Linked DNA regions of Danio rerio. The protein of the gene in region 2 binds, or shares a complex with, the protein of the main gene of each other region. Links are inferred from orthologs where the notes say so. Each region holds a gene or a part of one and is shown on either strand. Other genes may lie near its edges.

Region 1 (5,657 bases), on a different chromosome or scaffold from region 2:
GTGTTCAGCAAAGTCGTGCCTTTATGTCACGAGATTAAATGTAAACAACTCATTGAAAACTCGTTTTTCACTAAAACCAGGGGTGTCAAAATCAGTTCCTGGAGGGCTGCAGCCCTGCAAAGTTTATTTCCAACCCTGCTCCAACACACTCACCCGTAGGTTTTAAACAAGCCTAAAGGACTCAGTTAGATCAGGTGTGTTTAATTAGGGTTGGAACTAAACTGTACAGAGCAGCAACCCTCCAGGAACCGACTTTGACACCTGTGGCTTAAACCTTTCCTAACTTGATTAATGTTTATTTTAAGTTCAAGTAGTAGATGTAAAGAATTGCATAAAAGTAGAGCACACCTGTTTGTAAAGCATACAGCAAAATCTGATGTTAAAAACTCAGAATCGATTGAAGACAGAACAGCGAGGCATTTTGAAAATCTCAGAATTGATTTCTTGTGAGATTTTTCACCACAGCTCTACTAAATAAGCATATTTACCTGTTCCTGGTGTACCCTGTAGACCAGACAATGGTGTGTGAACTCCAGCAAATGGCTGTGAAAACAAATTCTTATAAGACAATGAAACCATCTGAAATGCTCGAATATAGACATGTCCACAATTTAATATTTTTGTCGAATACAGCAAGTTTAAGAAAAAAACATGTGCTACAGTGGCCTAAAATCTAAATCTTGATTAATTTAACATTTTAACTCGATTCCGATTAATGATATATATATATATATATATATATATATATATATATATATATATATATATATATATATATATATATATATATATATATATATTATTAATACATTATTATTGTGTTATTATTATTTTATTTATTTTATGTTTTTGCCCTCATAGTTGGCAAGTTACATATAGCGATAGGTTTTGTGACAAGTTTTGTAAAGTAACGTGTAGCTGTAACAGTTGAGATGTGTAGAGGAGCATATGTATGCGAAGCCTGCGCCAGACCATACCCGTGCACCTGGCAGAAGCATAATATCATAATAACATAACAAATATACATCATAATATAATAAGAATAAATCTGCCTTAACAGTATGTGGTTATGTGACTCCTTACGTTGTAGGAAAAGTCATTCAAAAAATTGACCTAGAATGTTAGCATAGTGTTGTACACTAGAATTATCAGTAATAGTGTAATTATCAGCAATAAAATAACATGTTTTCTTGCAAAATAAGCATTCATTAAAGGGACAGCCTGCACAAACAGAAAAATTCTCACACTCAAGTGGTTTTAAATTTTTGTTGCATTTTTTTCTTCAGTTGAACTCAAAGCAAGATATTCTGAAGAATGCTGGAAAAAGCAGCCACTGACAGCCATAGTCAGAACAAAAAATATTATGGAATTCAATGGCTTTTTTGCCAACCTTCTTCAGTATATCCTCCTTTGTGTTCAACAGAAGAAACTCAAACAGGTATGGAACCTGTGGAAATGATTAATGGATGGTGTAATTAATTTTTGGGTAAACTATCATTTTTTTTTTTTAATTCATAAGTCAAAAACAAAAACTAAATACATGGTACATAACACTATGCTTGCAATAATACTTTATGTTTACCGCACTTAAGTATTTATTTTTGTTCTTCATCCACGACTGCATAATTACACAAACCAAAATAATAGTAATAACTAAAGTTTTCATATTTGTTAGCACTTCTCACTTGTTTGCGAGCAGCAAGTGGTGACATTCCCACAGCAGAGCCATTGAGGTCATCATAGATGCTTCTGACTGGAGGGGCTCCGCTCTTATCTTTAGGTGTTGGGACTACAGGCTGTGGAGGAGACCCACCTGATGGAAAAAAAGAACATTAAATCTGTAAGAAAGCAACTTTGCTTATAAGTATAAAAATAACCATAATTAAGGTATCAACAAAGCACTGTAACCAATAACAAGCATTGTTATATGCATTTACCAGCAAGAAGAGGAGACCTGATTTCTGCTCCACCTGTCAAACCAAAAGACCTGGGCTGGGGAGTGACAGGAGCAGGCAGGTCTCCCATTAGAAACCCCGGTAAAAACTGAGCCCCAGGCTTAGGAGAGGTTGGAGAGCCGAGCGTCATTGGTTCAATACCTGTTATGAGACATTTGAAAGGTTTACAGTGTTTAATGCTTTTTAAAATTAAAGCCTATAACATTCCTGGAGTTCTAGTTTCTAGTTTTCTAGTTTCTAGTTTTAGACAGTCTAGTTTTGTGGATTTTTTTGTTCTTCCAAAACCTTTTCAGGCCTGGAAAATATTTAAACATAAAATGTACAAATTCCATGACTTTTCCATGACTGTATGAACCCTGTTTATATTCACACATTCGCTCATTTTTGAACAGTGACACTTTGACATGCTACTTTAAATATTTGGTCATTAGCATTATTTAATTTTGCACTTTGATAGTCATAAGCTGCTTATATGATTACCCTATTAAGAATTTGCAAAGTATACTTCTGAAATTAAGTTATATTAAAAATATATATATAAATTATCAAAGTCTGTGTGCAAATATAAAACCAAACTGACTTTTATCTCATTTAGTGATTTACTTTTTTTCTGTTTTACAAAAACTAATTTGAAGAATTTTGGAAGGCGGTAGCCAAACACAATACACATCCATAAAGAAGAAAAAAGTAGTCCCTCAAAATATCTGGCTTTGCATTCAACACAACATGGTATATACAGAGATTGAAATTCAAAACCTTTTAAGACCTTTTTAAGACTCTTTGCATACCTCATTACCACTTCATGTTTCAACGAGTAACATTGCTAACATTTTAATTTGCAATATATTTACTGACTATAAATACTGATTGCAAGAAACTAATCCTTAACTGTATTTATAAACTAGATAAAAATATTAATCTAGCCTTTACAGCAGCAGGAATAAGTGTTTATCAGGTTTACTGCAGTAAACAAAGCAGCGTGATGTCAAATTTAGCAGGATTTGTTTGATTTCATAAACTACACAGCATCCCAATATTCCAAGATTAGACTCGGGCAAGCTTTAGCATACTGATACAAAAGTGAATTCCTTGTAAAATAGCAAAAGACTTGTTAATGCTTTAAAAGAGTCTTAAATTTATCTAAATATATTTATCATTTTTTATATTTTTTTAAAAACCCCGCGGACACCATGAACAAAGAAAGTTGAACAAGAAAACTAAATAAATGACAATTTTTCTCTTTGCGTGAACTCTCCCTTTAACGATAACACCAATTTGATATGGACAACGAAGCACATAAAAACAGACCCTATTTGGCAGGCACTTGATTTGGCTGTCACGTCACAGCAAATAAAAACACCCACATACAGAAATAGTTTAATAAAGTTATTAAGGGGAATAAAACACGCGTCTTTCTGCAGTGTGCTGACATTAGCTAAGCCACGGGGACGCCCGTTTCCACAAATTCATCGACATACAAACACTTCAAAACCTACAAACTCAAAAATTGTGAAAAGCACGAATACTTACAACTCTGTATCTCCATACTGGATGACTAACAGGCAGTAAACGAACAGAAGATTAGATCTGCTTTACCGAATACCGGAGAGTGCAGAATTTTTTGAACCAGACGGAAGTTGCGCGTGCTCTAATGACACCAGCGAGAGGCACTTCCGGGCGCCTCTGTCGCGCCTCTACAGGGAAGGATGTCAAACGAATTTTTATTTATCCCCAGTAACAAGATTGCGTCTACATTTGGTAATCCTAAATCAAATTGTGTCTTCTGTAACTCAAGCATCAAATCGATAATTTTATTTTTTTATCAAATGGCCACATGTTAAAGGGTTTTGTCTGATTTATCCGTCTTTTTACATCAAAATGTAAATTCAACATTAATTTTTTCCATATGTGATTTAGTTACTTTTCTCATAACAAACATAACAGAATTTATAGGCAATTTTATTATTTATTTACTGGGTAAATATTATACTCACAAATTTGCATTTTCTTCATCATTACCTAATTTGCAGAATTTTCTTTGTGACTTTAATTGTTTAACTACAACTACAACAAAATGTTTACAGCAAAAACAGTGTAAGAACTGTGAAAACTTCAAAAGACTTTGTAAATATTATTAATATTGATAGTTTTGCCTCTCAGTGGCACAGTAGGTAGTGTTGTCGCCTCCCAGCAAGAAGGTCGCTGGTTCGAACCTCGGCTCAGTTGGTGTTTCTGTGTAGAGTTTGCATGTTCTCCCTGCCTTCGTGTGGGTTTCCTCCGGGTACTCCGGTTTTCCCCACAGTCCAAAGACATGTGGTACAGGTGAATTGGGTAGGCTAAATTGTCCGCAGTGTATGAGTGTGTGTGGATGTTTCCAATGGCTTGCGGCTGGAAGGGCATCCGCTGCGTAAAAACTTGCTGGATAAGTTGGCGGTTCATTCCGTCGTGGCGACCCCGGATTAATAAAGGGACTAAGCCGACAAGAAAATGAATTAATGAGTTTTGCCTCTGTACCCTGTTATTTATTATCTTATTTTAGCATATTTTAGATATTCTTATATCATTTTTCTTGTTTATATTGTACTTGATGTCATCCATTGTTATGGTATATCTAATATTAAATAGCTGTACAAGGAAGGTAGATCTCAAATTTGTATACTTGCATGCGTTAGTAGAATGTTCTTACACAAACTAATCTGCAGGTGGCACTGTTGTTTCACAAGGTTGCATTGTTGTCCTGGATCCTCTGGAGTAGTAAAATATTGACATCCTCCTCCTCTTGCTGAAATATTCAGTCTCCATTATTAAAAAGTAAAACAATACGTTTATGGTTTTATATAGCCTACAGTGCATTTCTTGCATATGACTGAATACAATAATTTGATAGCTGATGTTGATGTTTTTTAGGTTCGTTCGTTCATTCATTCATTCATTCATTCATTCATTCATTCATTCATTCATTCATTATTCATTCATTTTCCTTTGGCTTAGTCCCTTCATTTATCAGGGGTTGCCACAGCAGAATGAACCGCAAACTTATCCAGCATATGTTTTACACAGCGGATGCCCTTCCTGCTGCACTCAGAAATAAAGGTACTTTATGTGAGCTGTCACTGGGGTGGTACTTTTTCAAAGCGTACACATTTGTATTTAAATGGTCCATATTGGTACCTCAAAGGTATATATTAGTACCAAAAAAATGTAGGCACTAAATGTACCCTTGAGGTATTAACATGGATCGTTTAGGTAAAGATTTGTAACTTTTGAAAAGGTACCATCCCAGTGACAGCTCACATACCTTTATTTCCGAGAGTGTGGGAAACATCCATATACTCATTCACACATACACTAACCCACATAGCAAAATTTCTCTGGCCCAGCTCTGGCCCACAAAATCAGGTTTTGCTTGGCCCACATGCTGCGGTGAATTACTGTACATGACTGGACCAAGTTTGGCTTCCATACAAGGGCCAAACATGGACCATATCTGGGCCAAGTCTCAGCCAAGTTAATAACTCATAAATGGGCCTGAACTGGGCCAGATATGTTGGTGCGTCACAATTGCAATTAAATTCATAAACCCATGAAGCATTGCGCTTTAGGCACACTATGGGTGTGCTTTTTTCTCAAAGTGACCTGATTGGTAGAATCTTTTTCTTTACTCAAAAATTATTTTAATGTATTTTAAATGTGGGTGAAGAC
Region 2 (4,982 bases):
ACTTTAATGCTTCAACTGTAATCATATGAAGATCCAAGAACACTGTTGTGTGTCACAAAACTGTAAACACAACTTTGTTAGCCAGTGTCTTCTCTGGTCTGGTCATTAGGGTGCATGGTGCAATATGACGTATTAGTATTAGATTTTGTATTCCCCATATCTTTGCATGATTTGTATGTTTTTGCTTCCATTTCTGGACTTTAAACATTGCACAACCTTTGCTGTAAATGGAGCTTCAGACCGCTCTTTTATTTAATCTAAAATATCTCAATTTGTAGGGCGTCAGTGGATAGCACGATCGCCTAACAGCAAGAAGGTCGCTGGTTCGAGCCCCGGCTGGGTCAGTTGGCGATTCTGTATGGAGTTTGCATGTTCTCCTCGTGTTCACGTGGGTTTGCTCAAGGTGCTTCGGTTTCCCCCACAAGTCCAAAGACATATTGTATAGGTGAATTCGGTAAGCTAAATTGCCCGTAGTGTATGTGTGTAATTGTGTGTGTATGGATGTTTTCCAGTGAGGGGTTGCAGCTGGAAGGGCATTCGCTGCAAAAAACATATGCTGGATAATTTATTCCGCTGTGGCGAGACCAGATTAATAAAGGGACTAAGGCGAAAAGAAAATGAATGAATCTTAACTTGTTCTTCAAAAATGATTAAAGGGTGGAGACTGGAATGACATGAGGATGAGTAATTAATAACGGAATTTAGATTTTTGGGTCAACTAATACTTTCAGTTGAAATTTTGAAACTTGAATAGAATGTTGAAACTCATAACACATTTTAATAATTCATAATTGTTAGATTTAGTCATAAATAATAGTCGTAAATAGTCAGTTTAGTCATAATTTTTTTTTTAATGTTTAGAAATACTGGTAACACTTTACAATAAGGTTGTATTAGTTAATGCATTTACTAATGAACAATACACAGTAAAGCATGAATTTGAATGTTACTTATGCACTATACAACGTTGAACTATGATTAATAAATGCTGTAGAAGCATTGTTTATAAGTAGCTCATGTTAATCAATACATAAACTAATGAAACCTTATTGTAAAGTGTGACCGAAATACTTAGTTTCATAATGCTCACCTTTCAGCAATAGCCACTGCCATGTTTTTGAGTCGCTCTTTGTTGGACTGAGGTTCGCTGACTTGAGCGATGACTGGACTCAACAATTTATTCATCAGCTCCAAAACCTTATCAGCATTCTGGAGCAGGAAATAAAAAAAAATGTTTTAGGCACAATTACAAGAGACTGCTAAACCCAAAGGTCCGTCTCAGCTTATCTTACCTTGGCTAACTCGTAGAGTTTGACGGCCTCCTCAAACAATCCCTTGTTCTCGGCCTCAGAGGCTACTTTGGTAATGATGGCCCGCGTGTCTCCGGCAAACTTGTCAATCACACCAGGCTGAATGGATTCAAACAAACACTGCTTAGAGCAAGCAGGACTCTGAATGCACAATGGTGTTTGTCAATAAGCCTTGAGCATGAAAAGCCGGAGTGTGTTGTACAGGCCCTGCGAGACAATAGCACATTCTACACAACCCTGAAAGCCTGAACGAACAAGCTTTTCACAATGGGTTCCAAGAATGAACAGTGGGCACGTTCGCTGTCTGCCAGTCAGGTGATATTACAACAAAAGCCTCCAACATACCTTTCTGCTTCCATCTTTTTCAAGCCTTCCAAGAAGCATATCGAACTGCAGGAAGAGAGTTAAGTATTGACAGGAATTATGTAATGATAACAGCAATTAGTATGCAGAAACCCTTCCTCCAATGAGCTTACAAAGTTTCTTACCTCTCGACTCTCGATGACTAGCTCGCTGACACAGCGCATAAACATGTTTTCTCCTTGACTGTCCTTCTCATTCCTGTGGCCAGTAGGAGAGCAGTGATTGTTAGTTTGTTGCAGTACAGCAATTATCCAGTTTGTGGCATAAAAGATTCAAAGGAACATGTTCGCTTTGTGACATGCATGCAAACCCTGAGATAAAAGACCTTAAGAAGATCAACTGCTTCCTTTTTGTACTAGTGGCTGTGGGGTCTTTTAAAACAATGGGTCGAGTTAGCATCGAATTCACAGTGTGCATGAAGCAGGTTTAATTATTCATGGATCATTCATGGAAGGTTCTGAGTTATTCATGACACATTAATCTCTTCTCGGAGAGGGATTTCCGCACAGTATATTCAGAGAAAAAGACATGACTTACAGTTCAGCCACTGATCAAACAGGAAACAAGTTTATTTCATAATAGCTTTGTATAGGCTTCCTTAATAGCTGTTCAACGTATCTAATCTAACATCAGCTCTTTTAGTATGTTACTCCAAATAACCCAATAGCATTACTTAAAGGCTGACGAAATCCTCTACTAAATTTGATGAGGCTTTTACAGCTTTATGTTTGTTGAACAATAATGTTAGCATCTGTTAGTTTTAATTGTAAGGAACTACTAGCTTTTGAGCTAGTTTCATCTTGCAGGTTTAAAATCTCTATCAGTGCAGCATTACTGATAGTGACGTACAATAGGACTGTGAGTACTTCGATGATGCATCTGTCTCCAATTATTATTCATGAGACTGAGTTTTTTTTTATCCCATAAGAGTTACTGATTCTGAATAATTTATTCAAGCTGTGAGAATGTGCAGCAAGGTGTTCACAATGGGTTGCGATGCCAATTAGAGCTAAAGATCATTTTAGACAGGGTTGGGGCAGGCTCGGGCTTGCATGGTAAATTAATAGTCATGTAATGCATTTCAATTAGTGTGAGAAAGTAATCAAATCGTTTGTTACAGCCTTGCAAAGGTGAAACAAATGATAACAGAGAAGTCAAAAAGAGCAAGTTTTGTGGAGTGGGAATTGATTGGTCATGCGCTCACTGATGGTGCATCCAACAGCACTGATCACCCTTTCACTGCTGCTGCTACAGGCCGGGAGGCATACTGATCTGGCTAATTTTGCAAGTTTTAGGTAGGATTGTTTGTTCATCTTCCACCAGCCAAGAACATTTATTTCATTTTCCATGGCAGCAGTTTCAATGTCCTCTTTTTCCAGGACTGATTAAATAATTTTCCTCCACAAAAACACATAGCATAATCTTAATGAGTGAAGAATTTTCAAATTATAATTAAATATTAATTAAATAAAAAATGCATAATGTAGTTAGAGTACACAGGCTAATGCTGGCATTATTATTTTAACATTCAGCTTCGCCTTAAGGCCAGATTGTGAAGAGCAGTGGTGAAACAAATCCCGCAGAACCTTCATCTTAATTTCGGTATTGCCAAATACCTGTCATTAATTTATTTGTTAGGAAAGAGGACTTATTTTATTTCTTTGTTCCAACTTCTAAGTGGCCTATAGCCTACGTTTGTTATGAATAAATGATGTTAAAACACAAATAAACGACTCATTCTTGAAAAAAAGGTAAAAGAGCTGTGTGCATGTGCACATTTGAATAATGTTAAACTTTTAAAAAGCTGTAAATCAAAATGTACTTGTCAGGCTCGGGCCGAATTCTGTCAGGCTATGGCCTAAATTGTTGGCCTTATTACTGCTCTAATGCCAATAGACATACTAAATTCTACAAATTTGTACTGAATTGTAAACAAATGTGACTATATCAGCATTTCCCATTGTACATTGAGCGCTGCTAAGCAAATTTTTAAGTCATTATGACAGTATGAAAGACAAACGACAGTTGTTTGCTGTGTTCTTTTTCTCCAGCTTTTCCCCATCACCCTCACTTCTCTTCCTTCTGCTTACAACTTTCCAAACCTATGTAAATAGCTTTTTCATTCTGAGATAGACCTAAACTGAAAAACAAAGGTTTTGTGACCCTTAAGTATAGAATGCCCATTACCGGAGAAAGTAGAAGTACTGCAGGGCTTCTCGCGGATCAGTGGACTCAAATTTGCGTGTGTACAACATAAGCAGCCTGATGAAGTTTAGCCGTCGCACCATTGGAGGATCTCCAGCTTCTTGACTCACTTAAAAAAAAAGATCAGAAAAAATATTACAAACAAGATAAATTTTTAAGTTCTCACTTAACGCTCAATAGTCACAACTTACAGAGTTGAGCGCTCTGTCCTGATGATTTGAGCAGGAGTTTGAGTTCGTACAGCACCAGAGCAACGTGAACGGCATGGCTGCGCAGACGCTCCACTCTGAAGAGAAACGCGATGGCCGCCTCAAACTGCGCCGTCAGGAAAAGCACTTGGAAGTACAAGAAGGGCTGGTGGCTGGCTGAAAAATGGGACTCACCTGCAGAAAACAATTCATGCCACACATCTTTATGAGCAAAACCACTTACAGAACACACATAAAGCACACACTGGCAATGGGCACATGCAGCCAGTACGGATTTGTCACATAAGGAATTTAAATGCTTCTTTAAGCGAGTAATAGGTTCCATGTAAATCTTCCTCGGCTGTGAAGTGCTTAAATAGGCTGTTTCATTTCCATTTGCGCAAGTTGAAATAATCCCCTCTCATTTAAATTGCCGTTAAAACTGACGTCTTAAAGCGGCATTGAAAAGACCCGCTGCGACTTTGCATGGAGCGTAATGGCAGCGCAGCTGGGAGTGAAGGAGTCTTATCAGCAAAAGAGCGAGTCTTTAATGTGGTGTACTGCAGGAGTGCCGGCGAGATAAGACTGACTCATCAGGCAGGTGGAGGAAACTAAGCGGATGCCTTTTTAAAACTGGGCGAGGAGAAGTTTAAGCCATGAGAAAACAGCACAATGACATGCACTTTTATCTGGGCTAGGCACACACTGGCAGAGACTGAATGGGAGGTTTTGCATACTGACTTACTTCCTAGTTTTTCAAATGCCCATTTAAACCTCTTCCTTTAGATAACTGGGATGACTTAATGGAATAATTTAAATCGTTTTATATGTAAAACTATGTACAGCATATATATATATATATATATATATATATATATATATATATATATATATATATATATATATATATATATAT
Region 3 (5,727 bases), on a different chromosome or scaffold from region 2:
ACAACTTCTGAGAAAAACTACTCAATTGCAGTAACTTGATTATTTGTAATTAGTTACTTTACACCACTGATAATAATAATAATAATAATAATAATAATAATAATAATAATAATGTAAATAGTTGTAATAAAATTATTGTTATTGTTTTTGTTATTTAATTTAATTAATAAATTATTTAGAGGCAAGAAATTCATCTTTATTTCTGTAGCGCTTTTACTATGTAGATTGTGTCAAAGCAGCTTCACACAGATTATAGCAGATTGAGACTGTGTCAGTCCACTTTTCAGTGTTGAAGTTCAGTTCAGTTCAGTTCAATGTGGTTTAATTTTCACTGTCCAAACACTGGAGCAAATCCATCGATGCGCAGCTCCACATGGTCCCGAACCATGCAAGCCAGTGGAAAAATGTCACAATAAATGAAAAAATAATACAGAAGGAAACCATCTATTAATAAACAAAATTAAACTAATTGTTTAACAAATTTGTAAATAGTTAAATGAAAAGTTTCTATAAATTATTTAATGCTACTTGATTAAAACTATACAAAATATTAAATGAGATTTAATTCAATTATCCGGAAAAAGGATTACATTTGTTTAAACAAACAATAAATACATCAATTGTATTCAAATTAACAAGAAAGTCAGAATATATTAAAAATAAATAATTTATTAAAATGAAACAAAATTAAACTGTTTACAAACAAATTTGTTAAAAAATAAAATTTAAATAATGTATTTATAATTAATTATTATTGGAAAAAATATTAAATTAAATTTTCTGAAAATTGAAATAAAATTGATTAAAAAAAAGAATAAATACACAAATTACAATTAAATTAACAAAAAAAATTCATTAATTTTCTTTTTCGGCTTAGTTCCTTTATTAATCAGGGGTCGCCACAGTGGAATAAAATCGCCAACTCATCCAGCATATGTTTTATGCAGCGGATGCCCCTCCAGCTGCAACCCATCACCGGGAAACATCCATACACTCTCATTCACTCACACACTACAGCCAATTTAGCTAACTCAATTCACCTAGTGCATGTGTTTGGACGGTACGGGAAACCGGAGCACCCGGAGGAAACCCACGCGAACACAGGGAGAACATCAAACTCCACACAGAAATGCCAACTGACCCAGGCTCGAACCAGCGACCTTCTTGCTGTGAGGCAAGAGCGCTACCCACTGCGCCACCGCGTCACCCCAAGAAAATTCTGAATAAATAAAAAATTATTTATTTATTAAAATGATACAAAATGAAACCATTTATTAACAAACAAATTTGTATGTAATTAAATGAAGATTATATTTAAATAATCTAATAATAATAAATTATAATTAGAAAAAAAAAATCCTAAATCAAAATCAAATAAATTACACGTTAAATTGTTAATATGAAATTTATTTAAACAAACAATAAATACATGAATTACATTAAAATGATGAAAAAAATGTCAGAAGCAATTAAAAATTAATAATAAATGCATCACAAAAAAGCAGAATTAAATAAATAAAATTAGTATAATTACAAATGAGTATAAAAATCAATTAGAAATATAATTAATAAATCAATACAATGATTGCATAAAGTAAATTAAAATAATATTTGGTACATTATTTAAAACAATTAAAAAAAAAAAAAAAATATATATATATATATATATATATATATATATATATATATATATATATATATATATATATATATATATATATATTGTTTCAACTGCAAAGCGATGGGTAGTATAATCGCCTCACAACAAGAAGGTCGCTGGTTCGAGCCTTGACTGGGTCTGTAGGTGTTTCTGTGTGGGGTTGCATGTGTTGGCGTGGGTTTCCTCCGGGTGCTCCGGTTTCCCCCACAGTCCAAACACATGCGGTACAGGTGGATTGGGTAGGCTAAATTGTATGTTGGTGAATAAGTGTGTATGGGTGTTTCCCAGTGATGGGTTGCGGCTGGAAGGGCATCTGCTGCGTAATACATATGCTGCATGAGTTTGCAGTTCATTCCGCTGTGGCGACCCCTGATTAATAAAGGGAATAAGCCGAAAAGAAAATGAATGAATGATATCTAATATCTAATATTTATGTTTACACTACATAAGCTATGGGTGGTTATACAAGAACCATTCATGACTGCTAGATGTTTATTTCTGGCATGAAGATGAACATATTTGGAGAAACCACTGTTTTAAAAATGAAACAGAAAGTATCTTGACCTAATTTACTAAATACCTCAGTTTACTCACATCTACAAAAGCAAAATCCCCTACCACCCGAACGAAGTTCCTACAAACTGACGTCAATAGTGAACGCGCATGAAGTGTCCTCCTGAACTACATATCCCATGAAACCCAGCGCCGCGGTGGCTGACGGTATATTGGAGGGCCGCGCTGTGACAGCGGAGCTCTATCCGGCGAGCGCTACTGAGCAGACTCAATCTAGTTAACCATGGCGGCGACAGGAGGAGGGAAAATCAGATCCAGAAGACACCACATTGCGTCAAAACCCTACGCCAAAGGCAAACAGGTAAACAAAACCAACATGAAGCGCCAACAGCGGGGAATGTAACGGTTATTAACGGAACCCTAACCAGCGGTTTGGCGGCGGGTTTTGTTTTTGTGAAGCAGGAGACATTTTGAGGCCTGTTTTAGGCCTGTTCACGTTCTTCCAGCACACGCTTTCCACACCGCCAACTCATTTGACTGATAAAACAAAGCCACTCGGTGAGGAAAATACTCGAAAATATGGCGACTGAGAAGTGAAATTTGAATGTGTTTTCACTGAGGTGAAGACAACCGCGTGAACGCGTTTCATACCCAAACCGTTAGCCGTTAGCTGCGGCTAGCACCGGCGTCAGATATAATCACTTCAGTCCAAACAAACCATTAAAACTTGGTTTTCGTAGCGAACGATTTCCTATTTAAGTTCTTTATACTCTTACTTTGACTACATAACTCGCGTGTGTCGCTCAGAGTGACTCCACATGAGAGTAATGAGCTTCAGAGCACTTTTTGTGTGCGTGTTGTTATATTTGTAAGTTTTAAGCTTGGTTGATGATCGTTTTGGATGTGATTAGAGATTAATATAACGGTATGTTTTGGCGTACATTATGCTGCTTAACGCAGTGGGGTTTGACATCATGAAGAAAGGCGGGATGAGCGAGTGTGTGCGTGTCGTGGCGTGTTTTCATCTGCACATCACACACACACTGGAAATCCTGCACTCATGTTATTTCATAAAGAACGTAAAGGTGTTGTGATTAACACAGGTTCGTGTGTGTTTTCATTAACAACAATTTTAATTAGCCTTATAGTGATCCTGAATTCATCATAAACAGTTATTCTGATAATTCATAACCTAAACACTATGAATCATAGTTGAAAATCACTTTGCATTTTTCGTGATATTACTAGATTATCTGTTTTAGGCAAATTAAGTGGGTTAGAGAGGCACATAAGCTATTTGGCAGTCAAAAACGCATTTTCTTTTGTGTGAGGTTTAATTAGAAGTTAGAAATAGTCGATGCATAGTGTTATGTGTAGGATACTGTAAAAATGAGACTGTTGATGTATTGAAAAATCATGAAATAAACTGGTTCGTGTTCAGCATGGTCAAAGTGTGTATTCTGGTATATTTAGTAATTAACCCCACGTAGAAATGCAAGATGTGAAGGCAGTTTAAAAGTCAGGGCGGTACATACTCGTATTTTTGTTGACATTTGTGCATCATTGCGCCTTGTTTTTATTTTCTACTGTCAATAGATTAATTGCACAGTATATTCTTTTTTTTCCCAATGAATTTAAGCCCCTCATTAATAAGGTTTTAAAACTGCATGTTCCAAGCTTAATAAAAAAGCAAGCACTTTATTGAATCTAGCTTAGGGTACATTAATTATGTTTATGCTGATCTATTAAAACCACAAGAAATTTTGTATTCGCCATGATCGGCCTGTAGCTCTCTGTGACTTACTGAAGAAATGCTGTGTGCTCTAGTTAAGTATGCTCATGTTTATTAGTGTTGTTTTGACTGTTAAATACTTGCTCATGCGTAAATATGTTATACACATACGAATAACCTCTCTGCTTTCCCCAAATCACTTTTTATTCTTTACCTGGTTACCTGAAAACAAAGTTTTTTTCGTTTTTGTTTTCTCCCAAAAAAGCCACATTTTACTGGACTGTCCTGCTTTTAATGATTCCAGAAGACTTTTTTTATGAAATTAACTCTTTTAAGGACATTTTTAACAAGGTGAAACTAGAAAAGATTTTAGAATTTCTATCATGCATCAACACTAAAAATCCTATTTAATTTATGTATTCTTTTGTTTGTTGACTTTTAATTGTGTATATATATTGTTGAAAGGTTCCTGCTATGAAAATAGCCTTAGTTGCTGAAATGGCATTAGATAAATACATTACATTACATTCCCAAAAAAGCCATAGTTGTAACCTCTTTATAAAAAGTATGCTTTGTCAGGCTTATAAATGCTGGGGCACACCAGGTTTACGCCTTACAACTAGCGCCAATGAAAACCGTTTGTAAGATGATTTGTTTTATTACTTTGCTTCGCAATAATCTGTTTTGTTGTTCAATACATGAAAACCGAACTTCCGACATGCACATGCAAAGTAGAGGTGTAAACCTACACTGGCCTCACGGTTCGGTTACGATTATCATGCCATCGATTCTATTCATTTCGATATCTCGGTGCATCACTGTGCATTGTCTGCTTTTTATACTTTATATGTGGATGTTTTGCATTTTCTGATTTGTTACCCTAATGTACAAGTCGCTCAAACTTACTCATTAAGATGCGGGAACCGGCAGACGTGCAACAGCATTAATCATAAACACAAAACTACAGTTTCCATCCGGAGCGACTTCACAGACTCTCGACACTTGTAAACACTCACTCAAACAGGTTGGCGCGGATCTCTGTCTCACCCACACTGGTCACAGCTAACAAGCTGACCTATTACAAAGCTTGTACTATGCGTCGTTGTGAAAGTATAGTTATATTTCTTGAGAAGTGTGCGGCAGCCACTGCGAGTGCTATGCAACTGCAAAGGCTGCACTGGAGCATACAAGTGCGCTTGATGAAGAAATGTAAATCAGCCTTAATTGTCTGCTTGCTACATTACTTCAGTTTTTATTTTTGCACTCTGATTGGTTGCTGAATAACCAATCAGATGCTGACCTTGCCCTGTAATCTTCAACATAAACCCGACAATACACAACGTGGAACACACCAAACCAACTAGCGAGATTGACGGCTGATGCAACCCTTTTCACAAGCCTGTTATGAGATGTTTAACAGTCATCAGCCTCTACATCTTTGGAAGTTTTAATATTTAGATTTTTTTTTTTTACATAAGAACATTTATATGTAATTATGTATGTACTACATCGTCTTTGCTTCAAATTACAAAAAACAAATTACCACTTGTGCCAGGTGTTTTTAATGCAGCTTCTACAGGACAGGACAGACATTTTGTCTATTCTCTCCTCTGGCTGCTGTCATCAGTCTTGCACTAATTTTTTCCCTTTGTCTGAAAGTCTTTATAACATCATCGTAGAGTTTTTTTTTAATTATTTGAGCAAATAAGATTGTAAAAAAAATGTTTTCTCCAATTTTCTGCGCTCTGAAATTACCCAACTATGACGACTTCCGCTACTGAGAAACGCGGAAATGTAAAAAGGGCATATGGCCGACCGATGG
Region 4 (4,171 bases), about 5.3 Mb from region 2:
GACTTACACAAACTTTTTCAAGTTGTCCTTGTTTTCAAACTACTAAAATTTAGTTTTTCTCTTAGATTATTTCCCCCCTTGTCTTTCTTCAAAAAACTTTTTTATGCAATTAGGAAGTAGTTTATTCCTAGCTTTAAACATAAATTGTGCTGTTTTAGATTTAACCAAATAATTGAACTTAAGTATTTATGATTTTGATTTAATTTAAAAAATAAATTATTTGTATGCTCCAAATACCAAATAATACTGATATCTGATTGGAAATTAATTCATCATTATGTCATAACCCTCGCTTACTTTTTAGGTAGATACTTGTGTTATCTTTGGAAAGTACCATTGCGTTTTTTTTCTGGTTCCATTGGCCAGGAAATTAGTATTTAAAATAGTATGTCTTGAAGCTGAAATACTTACGATAAAGGGCAAAACAATCTATGCGTCTAGTAAGAAAATAAAAAAAGTAAAGTAAAATTGATATCCCATGGTTTTATTATAGTAAAAGTTCAGTATGTTTTTGCCTCGCAAAATTGACTGAGAGTCTCATTTGAAGTTCTGTAAAAGAGATATTGTGTTTATTATTATTCCTGATTTCGATCTTTGTTGGTGGGTTTGTAGGACAGTACCACCCTCTGGTGCTAGAAAAATGGGATATTAATAATTTTCAGGCAGTATGTGAGGCATCAGTCGCTCAATTTCACTTAATGTCAACTATTTCGCTTGGTGGCTCAAAAACGGGTCCGTCCATTGAGTCGTGTGAAGTTCTAAGGGCGTTTTTTTGTCTAATCAAAGATACACGCTGGCTAATAATATAACCTTTTGTTTGTAATGCTTACCCAAACCGACATTCGTTAAACAAATGCAAATTTTAAAGCAATTTTCCTTATGAACGTATTTATTGAAATGGCAAGGCGCTGTAATCACAGATGACTATGATTTGTATGATCTTAAATACGGTGAGAAATATAACATGCACCACGTGACAATGCTGCCTACGTTGAGCAAATGATTTATGTGTAAATAGCTGTCAGGACGATCAATTTATTTGAGAAAACTATCTATACAAATAAAACATAAAACATTATTCACCCTGAATATGTAAAATTAGTAGCAACTTTCGTAGTGTCAGTATCCGCTTGCTATTGTAGCAAAGAACCAACCTGCATGCTGATTCTACCAACTTCTATTTCTATAGGTCCTACGCTCATGTGGTATTTATGGCAAAAACACAACAAACCAATGTTGTCAAAAATAAAAATAAACAAATAAATAAGCAATAAGGCAATAAATAAGAGCATACGAATGTAAATAAATAAAATCTCTTCACAAAAGAAACCGAAAGTTATGTTTTCACACCGGCAGAATTCAGGGCAGCCCACTCACGCTTCAGACATGGCGACGCAGATGGCGGTAAATTCAGGTATTAATGTATACATTTCGTATTCTTACATATTTAATGTTTTATACGATATATAACATTGACTTTTGTGTTAGCACGTTAAACCAAAGTATTTTAATACATTTAAAGTACAAGTACTTCGTCAGCCATTCACTTTATCGCTACCTTCACCAGAAAATAGGCTTAGAGTGTGTAACTAAATGCGCAACTAACGTTACATTGCTTACTATTATCTGGGCTCTTCTTAAACGAGGTATTATTAAAGTAAAAGTCTTTGTAAAACTTGTTCTTTTGTGCGACCAGAATAAATAAGTTGACGTTATTTAAAACATCAATGTCTCCTAACATCAATGTCTGTTAAATTGCCTCGTGAATATGCCCTTTACGTCTAATAAAAATGATACATGGACAAGATAAGTCTAGGTTTAAGTCTAAAGATACTTTAATGTCTATATACGAGTTATGTTTATACTGTTGTTTAGTGGTTTACATATTATTGAGGTCAAGTTGATTTTATATGCGCACATATTCGTTCAGTGGCAACTTGTGACATGCTTCCTATATTGTTTTTAACGTGGTTACTTTGAATATTGGGTCTGAAATCACATGTAGGTTTGACTTTAAACAACATTAACACTATTTATTTGACTGTGAAATGTGGTGTACTTTGATAGTCAATGACTGCTAATATGATTTCATGTTTATAATCTGCAAAAAATACTTTCTCGAAACTATATTATTGAGGAGAAATCTGAATGTGTGAATATACCTTTAACTTTACCTCAATTTAAATATTTTGTCTTCCATTTTACATTTTTCATGTATTTGTTTCCTTGTTTTGTACCTTAGGAATGTTGTTAATGATTGTCAGTGAAATGAAAGTTAATGTCTGTGTTTTATAATGTGTCTTTGTTTACCTTCTGCAATTCTACTGTGTAAGTTCTACCTATAAGTCGAGGCAACTGGTTGCTCTGCTTTTGAGATACTTATAACATTTAGTTTTTTGTTTTGTCTTTAAAAAAGCACATTTGACAGCTTGAGTTTTTTTTTTTTTTTTTTTTTACCTTTATAGGTCATGATAGTTTGTGAAATTGACAAAAGTACTAGCCTGAAGTAGGGCTGTGCGATTTGGGGAAAATATCTAATTGCGATTTGTATTTTTTTATTTCTGACAGATATTGCGATTTCAATTTGATATGCAATTCAATTTTGTAGTCAAACTTCAGCTTAATAAACTGTATTGTAGCTTCTGTGTTAATTAAAATGAAGAACTAAAAAAAATAATAGCAATAGTAATAGCAAACAACCTGAAATTGTACTTTGCTAGCTACTAGATTAAGTGTCACAGCCAATACTTTTAGTTGATTTTTTTTAGCAAGACACTCCTCATATAGCGGCCTGTGGTGCATTTTTAGGTGCTGGTTGCTGTATGTCCTCATGCTGTGGGAACAATTCTTTGACAGCTCTTACAAATTGCCTGTTTGTGTTCGGTGTCTGTGACTTTGAAACCAAAATATTCCCATATAACAGACCTGCTGTTTTTCTTTGATATAAATTCATCTATTAATGCTTTTGAAGCGGCAGATGTCATCATCCCACTCGTTTGCGCTTTCCTTTTTTTTTTCTTTTTTATTGTGGGCTTTTACATACTTTCAGTTGAGCAATTCTGATTGGCCAGAATGAAAGTGTGCTCACTCAGTAAGACTGTCTAGTAAGACTGTCACACACAGACGGCAGTCACACATTTGCTCTGGGTGGAGGAAATTAAATAATATATTTCATATAGCAGCCTCTTGTGATTGCAATTCGATTTCGATTAATTGCACAGCCCTAGCCTAAAGTATGAAAAACACTAGTCTGCACTCTGCAGACACTTAAGAAACAGGAGGGTTGAAGTAGTCTGAAACAAAAACTGTAAAACTCAAATCGCAACAAAATGACAAAAATAATCAGTTGAAAACAGAAAAATTCAAACTATTATATATTATATCATACGTATGCTTAATCATACGTCACACTGACAGGAGGAAAAATGTGAAAAAGCAACTTTTTCAGTCACTAATATAGAGAAATGCATATGAAGAGTTTAGATGCAAAAACCTCTAAAAGCCATCTGATGTTTTCTTCTAAAACTAGCATTTTTCTCCGACTCGTGTGTTGGCTCATTCATTCATTCATTTTCTTGTCGGCTTAGTCCCTTTATTAATCCGGGGTCGCCACAGCGGAATGAACCGCCAACTTATACAGCAAGTTTTTACTCAGCAGATGCCCTTCCAGCCGCAACCCATCTCTGGGAAACATTCACACACACACTCATACACTACAGACAATTTAGCCTACCCAATTCACCTGTACCACATGTCTTTGGACTGTGGGGGAAAGCGGAGCACCCGGAGGAAACCCACGCGAAGGCAGGGAGAACATGCAAACTCCACACAGAAACGCCAACTGAGCCGAGGTTCGAACCAGCGACCTTCTTGCTGTGAGGCGACAGCACTACCTATGTGTTGGCTCAGTAATTTTACATTTATAGTGATGGATAAGTTCTTTTAATCGCCTTTCAAGTGAAATAACTGAACATAAACATTGGAGGTTAAGAAAATGTTTCTTTCATTTAGAGGTTTTTGCATCTGAACTCCTTATATATATATTGTAAAGAGATTGTGGTTCTGTTTGCAGGAGCCAGTCTGTGGGGGCCGCTGAAGGAGCTCTGGGAGGCTGTGGAAGGGGCCATTTGGAGACGTCAACCAGAAAGTGTTCATCTTTTAGATCTGCAGT
Region 5 (5,675 bases), on a different chromosome or scaffold from region 2:
TCTTCATCTCTCTCTGATCTTCATCTTCCTCTCTGATCTTCCTCTCTGATCTTCCTCTCTGATCTTCATCTTCCTCTCTGATCTTCCTCTGATCTTCATCTTCCTCGTCTGACTCTGGCATGTAGGGTTGCAGATGCTGGATGTGTGGTTGTAGTCTGAGGAAGACTCTGTCATGTGTAATGGCGCTGCTGTGCTGCATCAGCTGGTGACAGTATAGAGCTCTTCACTGCGGCTCGCTGCCTGATGCACAGCAGACCCAGCAGCATTTCCCTGTGGACTCAACAGAAGACAAGAGTTTCTGGCATTTAAACATGAGGAATAATGTGTTCACTGAAAATAAACGACAGATCAATCAGTCAGTCAGTGAGCACAATAACAGCTGTCTGTATTATTGATGTGGTTGTGAGTATTGGCCTGTAGAGAGAGTGTGTGCAGTCGCAGGCTGCATTAGGAGTGTGTTTGCTGTTCATCTCGTGTTTCTCTCATGAGCAGTAATGTGTGTGTTCCATATGAAGGATGAAGCTGATTGGTCCATTCTAGTCACGTGATGCACAGTGCGCTCGCACCGTTCTTTTAACCTGGTGTGCCTGGAAAGCGTGAGCACATCGTGCCGCTCACGAAAAAGCAAACTAGCTTGTAGAAAAGACGGCATGTGAGAACAGCCCTCAGTGATCAGCCCCCGCCATAGCTACAGCCGCCTTTAATCCAGTGTGTGTGTGTGTGTGTGTGTGTATTCGCCCCAGTGTACATGCTCAGGACTTAAACTAGCGCACAGACTGGTTTAAACTGGCTTATAGCTGGTCTAGACTGGTTTATAGTTGGTCTAGGCTGGTTTATAGCTGGTTTAGACTGGTTCAAACTGGTTTGTACTGGTCTGCAATGTCCACTAACACTGCTCGTGTCCTGCAGGTCTTCTCCACCCCGCTGCACCACCCTAAGAGTCAGCCGTTCGTGGATCATGTCATCAGCTTCAGCATTGCAGACCACAGGATCTGGTTCCGGAACTATCAGGTGAGGTTCTGCGGTTCTGAGAGGATCTGCGGTTCTGCGGCGCTCCACTGACCGCTGTTCTCCTGTTGCAGATCGTGGAGGAGGACGCCTCGCTGGTGGAGATCGGCCCGCGCTTCGTCCTCAACCCCATACGCATCTTCCAGGGCAGCTTCGGCGGACCCACGCTCTACGAGAACCCACACTTCCAGTCACCCAACGCGGTCAGCAGCGCACACACACACACACACACGCACGCACGCACGCACGCACGCACGCAGCACTGTCTGCTACTGATCTGTTATTGATCTGAGTGTTAATATTGTTTTGGTGTGTGTGTGTGTGTGTGTGTGTGTGTGTGTGTGTGTGTGTGTGTGTGTGTGTGTGTGTGTGCGCGTGTGTGCAGCACCGGCGCATGCTCCGACTGGCTGCAGCCGCGCGGCAGAAGGAGCGTCAGATGGTGAAGCAGGTGCGGATGGAGAAGCGGATGGAGGAGTGTGTGCTGCTGCAGCCTGACCTGACGGAGGCCGTGTTCAACACCCCGGCGGAGCCCAAAGCCCCACGGCCGGAGGCCCCGGGGCCCCAGAAGAAGAAGAAGAAACGGCTGACGGAGCTGAAGAAGAAGACCCTGATGAAGAAGAAGGGCCTGAGTGTGTGAATCTGCACGAGTGTGTGTGTGTGTTCATGATCATCATGGTGTGTTAATAAAGATGTTTTATTAATGTTGACGGTTGTGTCTCTGTCTTCATGTCGTCTGCTGACTGCAGCACATCCTGAGCCGCAACTGAATAACGGCCAGGTTTAATGTCCCAACATGGCGGACTCTGAGTGCAAAAGCACAGTTGAACATTTGAGCGGCGCTGTTCTGCTGATGAGCTCCAGTTTCACTTTAATCTATATCAATGTTTTCGCGCGCTACGCCGGAGGAGTGTGTGACGCGACGCTACCGGTAGGAACCTCTTGTTCACAGCTTTTGTTTCCGGGCGGACCGTTTCGCTCAGGACCGGAAGCATGGCGTTCAACTTCGGCGGCGCGTCGGGCAGCGCGAGTGAGTAAAATTAATCTAAAACTATTAATAATGAACATTAAACATGATGACGGCGCTGCAGGAGCGCTGATACTGCTGTAAACCTGATACCACTGTGCTGTAAACCACTGGCGCTCATCTCATCTGCTCTGTGTGTGTGTGTGTGTGTGTTTTCATTACTGTGCGGCTGCTGTTGTGCGTTCATAACTGTGTGTGTGTGTGTGTGTGATGGTGATGATGATGAAGGCGCTCCGGGCTTCTCATTTAAGTCATCTTCATCCACTCCGTTTGGTTTCGGCGCCTCAACCACAACCACCGCCAGCAGCGCCACGGGCTTCGGTAAACACACACACACACACACACACACTCTCCCTCTCTCCCGGGCCTGTGAGGTAAAGCTAGTTTAATATGTTCAATTTGTGATCAGTGACGTTTTTTGATACTCTTCACTCCAGTATACACTACAGTACACACTACACACTCCAGTATACACTACACACTCCAGTATACACTACAGTACACACTACACACTCAAGTATACACTACACACTCCAGTATACACTACAGTACACACTACACACTCCAGTATACACTACACACTCCAGTATACACTACAGTACACACTACACACTCAAGTATACACTACACACTCCAGTATACACTACAGTACACACTACACACTCAAGTATACACTACAGTACACACTACACACTCCAGTATACACTACACACTCCAGTATACACTACAGTACACACTACACACTCCAGTATACACTACACACTCCAGTATACACTACAGTACACACTACACACTCCAGTATACACTACACACTCCAGTATACACTACAGTACACACTACACACTCCAGTACACACTACACACTCCAGTAACACTCCAGTACCGCTGCTGTGCTCTGCAGTATTGGCTGGTAGCAGGAGTTCACTGTAGAGTCTGCTAGTGAGCTCTGTCAGGGGTTGTGTTGGGGTGAAGGTCTGCATGTGTCACCCCGCCGGTCCCACACCACCCAACCTGCACTGAGCTGGGATCAAACCGGCGACCTTTCGCATGTTAAGGCTGATTTATACTTCTGCGGCAAACGGTGGCGTATGCTACGCCGCTGACCAATAGCCATTCGCCGTGGCCATCGGCGTCGCTGACGTGCACCTCTCAAAAAATGTAACTACACGTCACAACAACGCGTAGCGCAAGCTCTGTGATTGGTCGGCTTGGTATCGCTGACGAGTCTGGGCGGGACCGAGAGCCGCGCGAATGTTTACAAGTGAAGGAGCTCCGGATGGAGAGTTTTGTTCTGTGTTTCCCTCATGGTTACAGTTGCTGCACGTCCGCCGGTTCCTGCCTCAAAATGAGCGAGTTTGAGCCACTTGTACATCCAGGAAGTGTTCAGGATAGCAAAACAGCAGCGAAGAAACTCGACACAGAGGAACATTTACACCTCACTGCCCACTAGTGCTTCAGAAGTGTTAATGCAGACCAACAGAGCTAGCAACAGCAGTATAAGCACAGCTACACGCGTTACATGCGCCGTGGGTCACGCCGCTCACTTGCTGCAGAAGTATAAACCAGGCCTTACAAGGAGGCGAAACACCATGGCCTCTAGTGTCTGTCGCTAGAGCACCTCTAGAGGTCGGAGGATCGAGGTTTACCTGCACAGCACTCACTAGCTGACCTCCATTACACATAACAGCAGCGCTCCCCCAGTTCCCTCCTCAGCACACACACACACACACACACACACACACACACACACACACTCTGCTCTCGTCATCTGCACTCTGCATCTGAGTGGTGTGTGTGTGTGTGTGTGTGTGTGTGTGGTCAGGGTTCTGCTGGTTGTTGGTTATATTGACCTGTCACAGTTCAGTCAGAGTGAGTTGTATGCTGTAATGATGACGGGGTCACTGTGGTTAGAGAGATGTGCTGCAGTTCAGCTGCCGTCAGCAGACCACACCGTCAACCCTGCTGCTCTTCCTCCCGCCGTTCTCCTGTATGTGACGGTTCTGTCCCGATATCATCCTGTAAAGCTGTTTCTCTGGAGGCTGGCAACAAACATCAGAGCCGATCCTCCCTATACACAACCCAGACTGCTGATCCACCAGGGGGCGCCGCTTGCTCTTCACTGCGGGTCTGTTCTGTGGTTTCGTTATGTTCAGGCATGAAAACAGTTATAATTAACTATAATAACAGCAGGATTCCCTTCCTCTCCATCACAGACAGCATCGCCCCTATACAGTCCTCTAATGCAGTATAGCACACAGCCTTCATCCTCATCATCAGTAATGTTTCACTGCGCGTGCACACACACACACACGCACGCGCTGCTAACATGCTGTTGCCATGGTTACAGGTCTGACCGGAACCGGCTTTGGAGCGCCGACCACCACATCAGCTTCCACAGGCTTCGGCTTCGGCACTGGTGGCACGGGTGAGTGTGTGTGTGTGTGCTGTCTCTAACACACTGACTGACTCTCTTCTGTGTGTGTGTGTGTTTGTGAGCGAGCACGTGTGTGCGCATACGTGCATATGCTGTCACTAACCCACTCTCTCTCGTGTGTGTGCGCGTGCGTGCGAGCATGTGTTTGCTTGCGTTCACGTGTGTGCGTGTGTGCTGTATCTAACAAACTCTCTCCTGTGTGTGTGTGTGTGTGTGTGTGTGTGTGTGCGTGTGTGCATGCGCTGTCTTTAACACACTCTCCTGTGTGTGTGTGCGCTGTCTCTAACACACTGACTCTCTCTCTCCTGTGTGTGTGTGTGTGTGTGTGTGTGTGTGTGCGCGCTGTCTCTAACACACTGACTCTCTCCTGTTTGTGTGTGTGTGTTTCTCCTGGGGCCGCTGTGGTCAGGATTCGGGCCCCTGGTCTGCAGTGCGGGCCCTGGCCCCGCCCCCTCTGCCGCTGCTGTTAGTTTCGGCGGGTTCGGTTTGGGCCCTGCGGCCCCGGTGTTCAGTTTCGGCAGCGGCCTCGGGGGAGCAGGTAGATGAGCTCCGAGAGGTCAAAGGTCACGCATGATCAGATCACGCCACGCCTCCATCCCTGTGTGTGTGTGAGAGAGAGAGAGAGAGTGACAGACAGACAGACGTAGTGTGTGTGTGTGTGTTGGTGCCACTCTGATCATGTCATCAACAGTTAGTGCTCATCATCTCCGGTGTGTGTGTGTGTTTTCATCTTGTGTGTTTTTTTCGTCTCTGTTGTGTGCGTGAGTGTGTGTGTGAGTGTGTTTTTCATCTCCGGTGTGTGTGTGTGTGTGTGTGTGTTTTCATCTTGTGTGTTTTTTTCGTCTCTGTTGTGTGCGTGTGCGTGAGTGTGTGTGTGAGTGTGTTTTTCATCTCCGGTGTGTGTGTGTGTGTGTGTGTGTGTGTGTTTTCATCTTGTGTGTTTTTTTCGTCTCTGTTGTGTGCGTGTGCGTGTGTGTGAGTGTGTGTTTTTCATCTGTGGTGTGTGTTTGTCTCCAGCAGGAGCGTTTGGCGGGTTCGGCTCCACCACCACCTCCGCCGGCACTGGGTCAAGCTTCAGTTTCTCCACACCGGCTAACACAGGTACAGGCGCACACACACACACACACATACAGAGAGAGAGAGAGGAGAGATGCTGCGTCCCGTGCACACACACTGCAGAGTTACTACACACACCTCACACACGTCTCTA
Region 6 (4,982 bases), on a different chromosome or scaffold from region 2:
GCATTGGTATTTTTAGCTTAAATTTTTTATAATGCTGCGAGTCACATTTATTTATCTTTGTATCTAATCTAAAAGTTTGAAAATGTTTATTCTGGTTAAGTTTAAGTGTATTTACTCTTATATTTTGTGAAGAGCATGCTGTATTTATATGCTTTTTAAAAACTATTATTACAGTCACCCCAAGAAGTGCCCTTAGGAATCCCGATGTGTCTGCCATCCTCGGGACCTCAGGAAGCAGAACCCCTCGCTTCGTAAACACACCTCGTACCAAAGGCGGCCTGAGCATGGTGAGTGACCTCTGTTTGTACAAACATAACATCCTTTATCCCTCTGTACAGTCTATGTACAGATCAAGATGAAATGATTATCCCTCCTGTTAGATTTGTATTATTTTTTTCAATTATTTCCCAAGTGATGTTTAATAGAGACATTTTTTCCAACACATTTTAAACAGTAGTTTTAATCGTAAATATTTTATAACTAATTTATTTGGTCTTTGCTGCGATGACATTACATCATACTTGACTAGTTCTTTTGTGAGATACTAGTAATCAGAGTAATTTCAATCAGAGTCCAATTTCAAGGCAATGCAATTTTATAAATCATTTTCAAGGTGGCTAATAATATTGACCTAAGGTTTTCTTCCAGTCAAACTAAAGTAAACCAGAAAAATATATATATAATAGAAAAAATCTCTATTAAACATCTCTTGGGAAATATAAAAAAAAAATAAAGGAGGGCTAATAATTTAGCCTTTGACTGCAAATTTAGTTGGTGTTAGTAACATTTTTGTGTGCTGCTGTTGTTTGTTTGCTCTCCAGAACTTGGATGACAGTGACTGGACGAACAGTCTTTACCCATCTCCTCTATCAGGAATAGTGGACACAAGCTTTACTGACGACGTTAGCATGAGTGCTCTGATGCTGAAGGAAGATGATCCTGGAGAGGCTGGTGAATACTCTTAGTAATTCATAATCACAAATGAAGCGGTCAATTGACATGATTTTCAGCTCTTCTGTTTTCTTCTCTTAGCTTCTCTTGGTTTGTTTCCTGAATTCCTGGAGTCTTATTTGCGTCATGCGTCCACAGCCGTGTTTGACCTGTTGGAGGAATATGAAGCTCTCTGTCAAGATAAGGTACACTAGCAGTACATAATTTAAATTTAAATATATATATATATATTTTTTTTTTTTTTGATCGTTTAGGCTGTATTAAACACAAACAGCATATATTTAATATTTTTATAAAAAAAAATTATTATTATTAACGTTGAATTTGTATAATTCAGTTTTTCTGTAGATAAACAATTATAATACATTCAGGACCTTTAGGACAAAATTTTCATTTTTGCTATTCCATTTTTTTTCTGTTTAAGCAAATACTCATACATACTTTGCTCAAATGCATCAATTGTGTTTACAAGACATGCATATTGTAATGTTGGTTTAGAAAATGTTAAATATTTTGACACATTTTTTTCAGTTTTGGACCATCGAGCAAATAATCTTTTTTTTATTCAGCTTTTTAGCACTGCTGGAAAAATGTATTTAAATGATGTAATTATAATTCTGGTTTTTGTGTTGTATGGATGGATAGCAGAGTTTGTTTTGTATGTAGTACATACTGAGAGATTTTGTTTTTTATTTTATTTTAGATTATTTTTTGTGCAGCATAACTTAAAAAGTGCATTAAAATAAATGTTATTTCAGATCCTTGACTTATCCAAGACTAATAATCCTACGTATTAATCCTGTAATACATCTTCTTACCTTTAGTATATGTGTGTATTGAGAGGAGATTGTTTGTTTTTGTGTGTTTTCCAATAAAACAGTAACATGTAAACTAATTGTAATTTTAAGGATTAAAATCATTTTATTTTTCCAAGTAATCATCAGCACTGATTTGAGTTGTTTAAGAAACTAATACTTTTATTATGTTTTTTTACTCTCGGTTGACCTATGTGTAACTGTTTTAAAATTCACACACAATGCTTGAACAAAAATATGAACTTGTTTGACAAAGGAATTTTGATAAGTAGCTGTATGTAATGCATAAAATATTTTCATATTCTATGTACTGGTAAGTGATTTTATGCTAAATCTGTGTACTGGTAAGTGATTTTATAAAAAAAAAAAAAAAAAAGACTATAGTCTTTAAAAATGACTTTAGTTTTTAGTGTTATAGCAAGTAAAAATATTGGCACAACAAGTCATTACTAATGCACTGTCCTGACTTGTAGGTCAGTGTGTTGCAGAAACTGGTTCTCCGTTCAGCCCCTGGCCAGCAGAAATCCTCCAAGACTGTCAGCATCACCTGGTTATTGCAGCAAGAGATGGTGACCTGGAGACTTATCACCTCTCTGTACAGGTACAACACACTCATACATTAGACCACACACACTACTGTTTTGATGAATGCATAAGAAATAAGTTGTTATTGAAGTTTTTTGTATTTAATCTATATTAAGCTTGCCATAAAATACCCATGAGTTGCTGATGTGGCAAATTTATCAAAATTGACAGCATTTCAAATCTATTTCCATTTCAAATGAATATTTTTGATGTTTTTTTGCTTAGTTTATCTAAAAATGCAAAAATGTTTCAGTTTCCACACAAATATAAAGCAGCACAACTTTTTTCAACATTGAGTTTAATGAGAATTGATTATTTACTGCTAAATCAGCAAAGTCGAGGGATTTTTCAAAGATTATGTCTCAATAAAGACTGAAGTAATGGCTGCTGTAGTAAATTAAGCTTATCTATTACTATTCACTGCTGTTTTTTGATCAAATAAATGCTATGTAAATACAATATTATGAGTTTAAATAAACAATAATAATAATAATAATCTTATTAATACCAGACTTTAAAACAGTAGGATTTTTAAATATCTGAATACTATTACTTTTTTGCTTATGTATTGTTAAAACTCTCTCAAACACAGAGACAGAGTTCAGACTGTTTTAGAAGAAGACATCATGATGGATATTACTGTAAGTGCATGTGTGTTTCTTTCTACTCTTCTGCTTGGGATAGAGCTGCGTAATTCTATAAAACCAGAGAATCACAATTTTATTTGTATTTTTTTGCTTGTTTGTTTAAATAGAGATGCAGTTTTATTCTGATTAGACAAATTGACACAATGTCAATTAATTTACTGGAGCTTTTATATAATTTTATTTGCTGCAATCAAAATGCAAAATATGTAATTTTTTTTTATTTAAGATTCTTTTTTATTTGGTTTAAATTAATGTTTTAAAAACTCCTAGTCAATATAATACAGTGTCCGTATCAGTTTCATTTAGACTGTTCGCCCTGGTGTGTGCCATGTTTTTACTCATGGACATCTCACTTTGATATGAACTGTTTCGTGTTGTGTTTTCTCTGGAGATGCCCAGTGAGAGTGAGAAAGCAGTAATGGAGCAGTTCTTCCAAAAGGACAGTATGGTGCGACAGAGCCAGGTAAACATACATCCATTTTACACCAATATATTTTTACATTGAAAAAAAAAAAAAAGCTCAATATCTGATGTGTGTTTTTATTTAGCTGGTGGTGGATTGGTTGGAGAGTATAGCAAAAGACGATATAGGAGACTTCTCGGATAACATTGAATACTATGCTAAATCTGTGTACTGGTAAGTGATTTTACCACTCATTTATGTCTTTGAGAATGTCTCAGTATGTCTAAATAAAATTTTTTATTAATCTGTTTGTTGGTGTGCAGGGAGAACACACTCCACACGCTGAAGCTGAGGAGGAATCAGTCCAGTGGTGGTTTAAGCAGGCCACTGGTCACTGAACTGGATCCCGATGCTCCCATCAGACAGAAAAGACCCCTGGCAGACCTGGACAGAGAGGACGACTCTCGCCTCCTCAAAAACCTCTTCAATCTCATACGAGCTGGCATGACTGATGAGGTATGTGTGTATGTTAGTTGAGATGCTTTATTAATTCCCTTAAACGTATAGGTCACCCTACATTTTTTATTTCCTTACTCAAATGGTTGTACATATTATGAATTTCCTTCTTCTGTTAAACACAAAACAAAATATTTTGAAGCAAGCTTGTTAAAAGCCGCTTTTGCACTTAATCTGGGAACAAAAATGCTGTGGAAGTCAATGGCTGCTTTTTTTCTCCAATATTCTTCAGTATATATTACTTTGTTTTGAACAGAAGAAAAAAACTCAAACAGATTTGGAGCAAATCAGTAAACAGAATTTAGATTTTTCAGTGAACTGTATCTTCATGGGAAAACTTGTTTGCCACTGTTATACATGATTAATGAAACGGTAAACACAACACCACAGGCAGTCTATGCAGAAATGACACACCTTGTTTTTAAAACTAGCTGCAGGAATGTTGAGAGATCTTGTGCATGAATCTGTAAAACATAACCTCCTACTAAAAATACTATTTACAGGATAAGCTTTACAACACAAAAATCATTTTCTCTTCCACCCTTGTTTTCTTTTCTGAAATAACCTTGGAATTAGGAGTAAAACAATAACTCAACCAGCAATTTTTGTAGTTTTGTTAATCCTATATTTTTTGGATGGTTATTAGGTATGGCCATTCTTGAGGTATTTTGTAGTTGAGTATTTTATTATACATAAATACTCTGATTTGGCCACAAATGTTAAGTTACATTTCTGTTTACACAATGCTTGTGTTATGGGTCTGTACTGATACTATACTAAGCTGTAATCCTGTAATAACATGTTAGCGTATTTGTAATTACACACTTTGAGTAGTTATTCTAATAATAATAATTGTGTCTAGGTTGTGAGTCTTAGGAGTTTTCTGTTTATTTTAGTAAATGCTCTGAAGTACCTTTAAACTTCAACTAAACTTAAATTTTCTTTTGAACGGTTCAAAAACACAAGAAAAGAGAAGTGTTTGTAGTGTCACATAGCCAGGTGGCTTTTCTATGGTGACAATCATTCAGAAATGTATGGCATATCTATAAAAATAATTAAATTTTT

The links.
Region 1: the proteins of nup93 (region 2) and nup35 are in contact, whole or in part, in a crystal structure (PDB 7MW1), measured with the Homo sapiens proteins. The link is inferred for Danio rerio from reciprocal best matches to the Homo sapiens genes NUP93 and NUP35. Residues at the interface, in NP_055484.3 of Homo sapiens: Tyr266, Tyr269, Asn402, Ala407, Asp408, Lys409, Thr410, Glu411, Tyr413, Tyr448, His452, Phe453, Val455, Asn456, Leu461; in NP_612142.2 of Homo sapiens: Ala88, Pro89, Pro90, Val91, Arg92, Ser93, Ile94, Tyr95.
Region 3: nup93 (region 2) and nup153 share a complex: the UniProt entries of both Homo sapiens proteins name them as parts of the nuclear pore complex. The link is inferred for Danio rerio from reciprocal best matches to the Homo sapiens genes NUP93 and NUP153.
Region 4: nup93 (region 2) and nup205 share a complex: the UniProt entries of both Homo sapiens proteins name them as parts of the nuclear pore complex. The link is inferred for Danio rerio from reciprocal best matches to the Homo sapiens genes NUP93 and NUP205.
Region 5: nup93 (region 2) and nup54 share a complex: the UniProt entries of both Homo sapiens proteins name them as parts of the p62 complex. The link is inferred for Danio rerio from reciprocal best matches to the Homo sapiens genes NUP93 and NUP54.
Region 6: nup93 (region 2) and nup107 share a complex: the UniProt entries of both Homo sapiens proteins name them as parts of the nuclear pore complex. The link is inferred for Danio rerio from reciprocal best matches to the Homo sapiens genes NUP93 and NUP107.

What each region holds. Positions count from the first base shown.
Region 1 is NC_133184.1:12,404,707-12,410,363, forward strand, and holds the start of nup35 (nucleoporin NUP35), read right to left. Parts: upstream 3,546-5,657; 5' UTR 3,502-3,545; coding exon 3,486-3,501; intron 2,097-3,485; coding exon 1,938-2,096; intron 1,814-1,937; coding exon 1,686-1,813; intron 544-1,685; coding exon 489-543; intron 1-488. UniProt on the Homo sapiens protein: Functions as a component of the nuclear pore complex (NPC).
Region 2 is NC_133193.1:18,953,331-18,958,312, reverse strand, and holds part of nup93 (nuclear pore complex protein Nup93), read right to left. Parts: intron 4,262-4,982; coding exon 4,070-4,261; intron 3,988-4,069; coding exon 3,861-3,987; intron 1,872-3,860; coding exon 1,799-1,871; intron 1,701-1,798; coding exon 1,656-1,700; intron 1,410-1,655; coding exon 1,293-1,409; intron 1,210-1,292; coding exon 1,091-1,209; intron 1-1,090. UniProt on the Homo sapiens protein: Plays a role in the nuclear pore complex (NPC) assembly and/or maintenance. May anchor nucleoporins, but not NUP153 and TPR, to the NPC. During renal development, regulates podocyte migration and proliferation through SMAD4 signaling.
Region 3 is NC_133194.1:48,945,003-48,950,729, reverse strand, and holds the start of nup153 (nuclear pore complex protein Nup153), read left to right. Parts: upstream 1-2,379; 5' UTR 2,380-2,456; coding exon 2,457-2,534; intron 2,535-5,727. UniProt on the Homo sapiens protein: Component of the nuclear pore complex (NPC), a complex required for the trafficking across the nuclear envelope. Functions as a scaffolding element in the nuclear phase of the NPC essential for normal nucleocytoplasmic transport of proteins and mRNAs.
Region 4 is NC_133193.1:13,627,642-13,631,812, reverse strand, and holds the start of nup205 (nuclear pore complex protein Nup205), read left to right. Parts: upstream 1-1,371; 5' UTR 1,372-1,386; coding exon 1,387-1,414; intron 1,415-4,072; coding exon 4,073-4,171. UniProt on the Homo sapiens protein: Plays a role in the nuclear pore complex (NPC) assembly and/or maintenance. May anchor NUP62 and other nucleoporins, but not NUP153 and TPR, to the NPC.
Region 5 is NC_133196.1:123,382-129,056, reverse strand, and holds the start of nup54 (nucleoporin p54), read left to right. Parts: upstream 1-1,983; 5' UTR 1,984-1,998; coding exon 1,999-2,035; intron 2,036-2,260; coding exon 2,261-2,353; intron 2,354-4,378; coding exon 4,379-4,456; intron 4,457-4,874; coding exon of another isoform or gene 4,875-5,003; intron 5,004-5,482; coding exon 5,483-5,566; intron 5,567-5,675. Other genes in the region: bxdc2 (ribosome biogenesis protein BRX1 homolog), read left to right, coding at 910-1,011, 1,083-1,211, 1,394-1,645. UniProt on the Homo sapiens protein: Component of the nuclear pore complex, a complex required for the trafficking across the nuclear membrane.
Region 6 is NC_133179.1:23,342,780-23,347,761, reverse strand, and holds part of nup107 (nuclear pore complex protein Nup107), read left to right. Parts: intron 1-174; coding exon 175-287; intron 288-821; coding exon 822-951; intron 952-1,032; coding exon 1,033-1,136; intron 1,137-2,239; coding exon 2,240-2,367; intron 2,368-2,943; coding exon 2,944-2,992; intron 2,993-3,389; coding exon 3,390-3,461; intron 3,462-3,546; coding exon 3,547-3,635; intron 3,636-3,724; coding exon 3,725-3,917; intron 3,918-4,982. UniProt on the Homo sapiens protein: Plays a role in the nuclear pore complex (NPC) assembly and/or maintenance. Required for the assembly of peripheral proteins into the NPC. May anchor NUP62 to the NPC. Involved in nephrogenesis.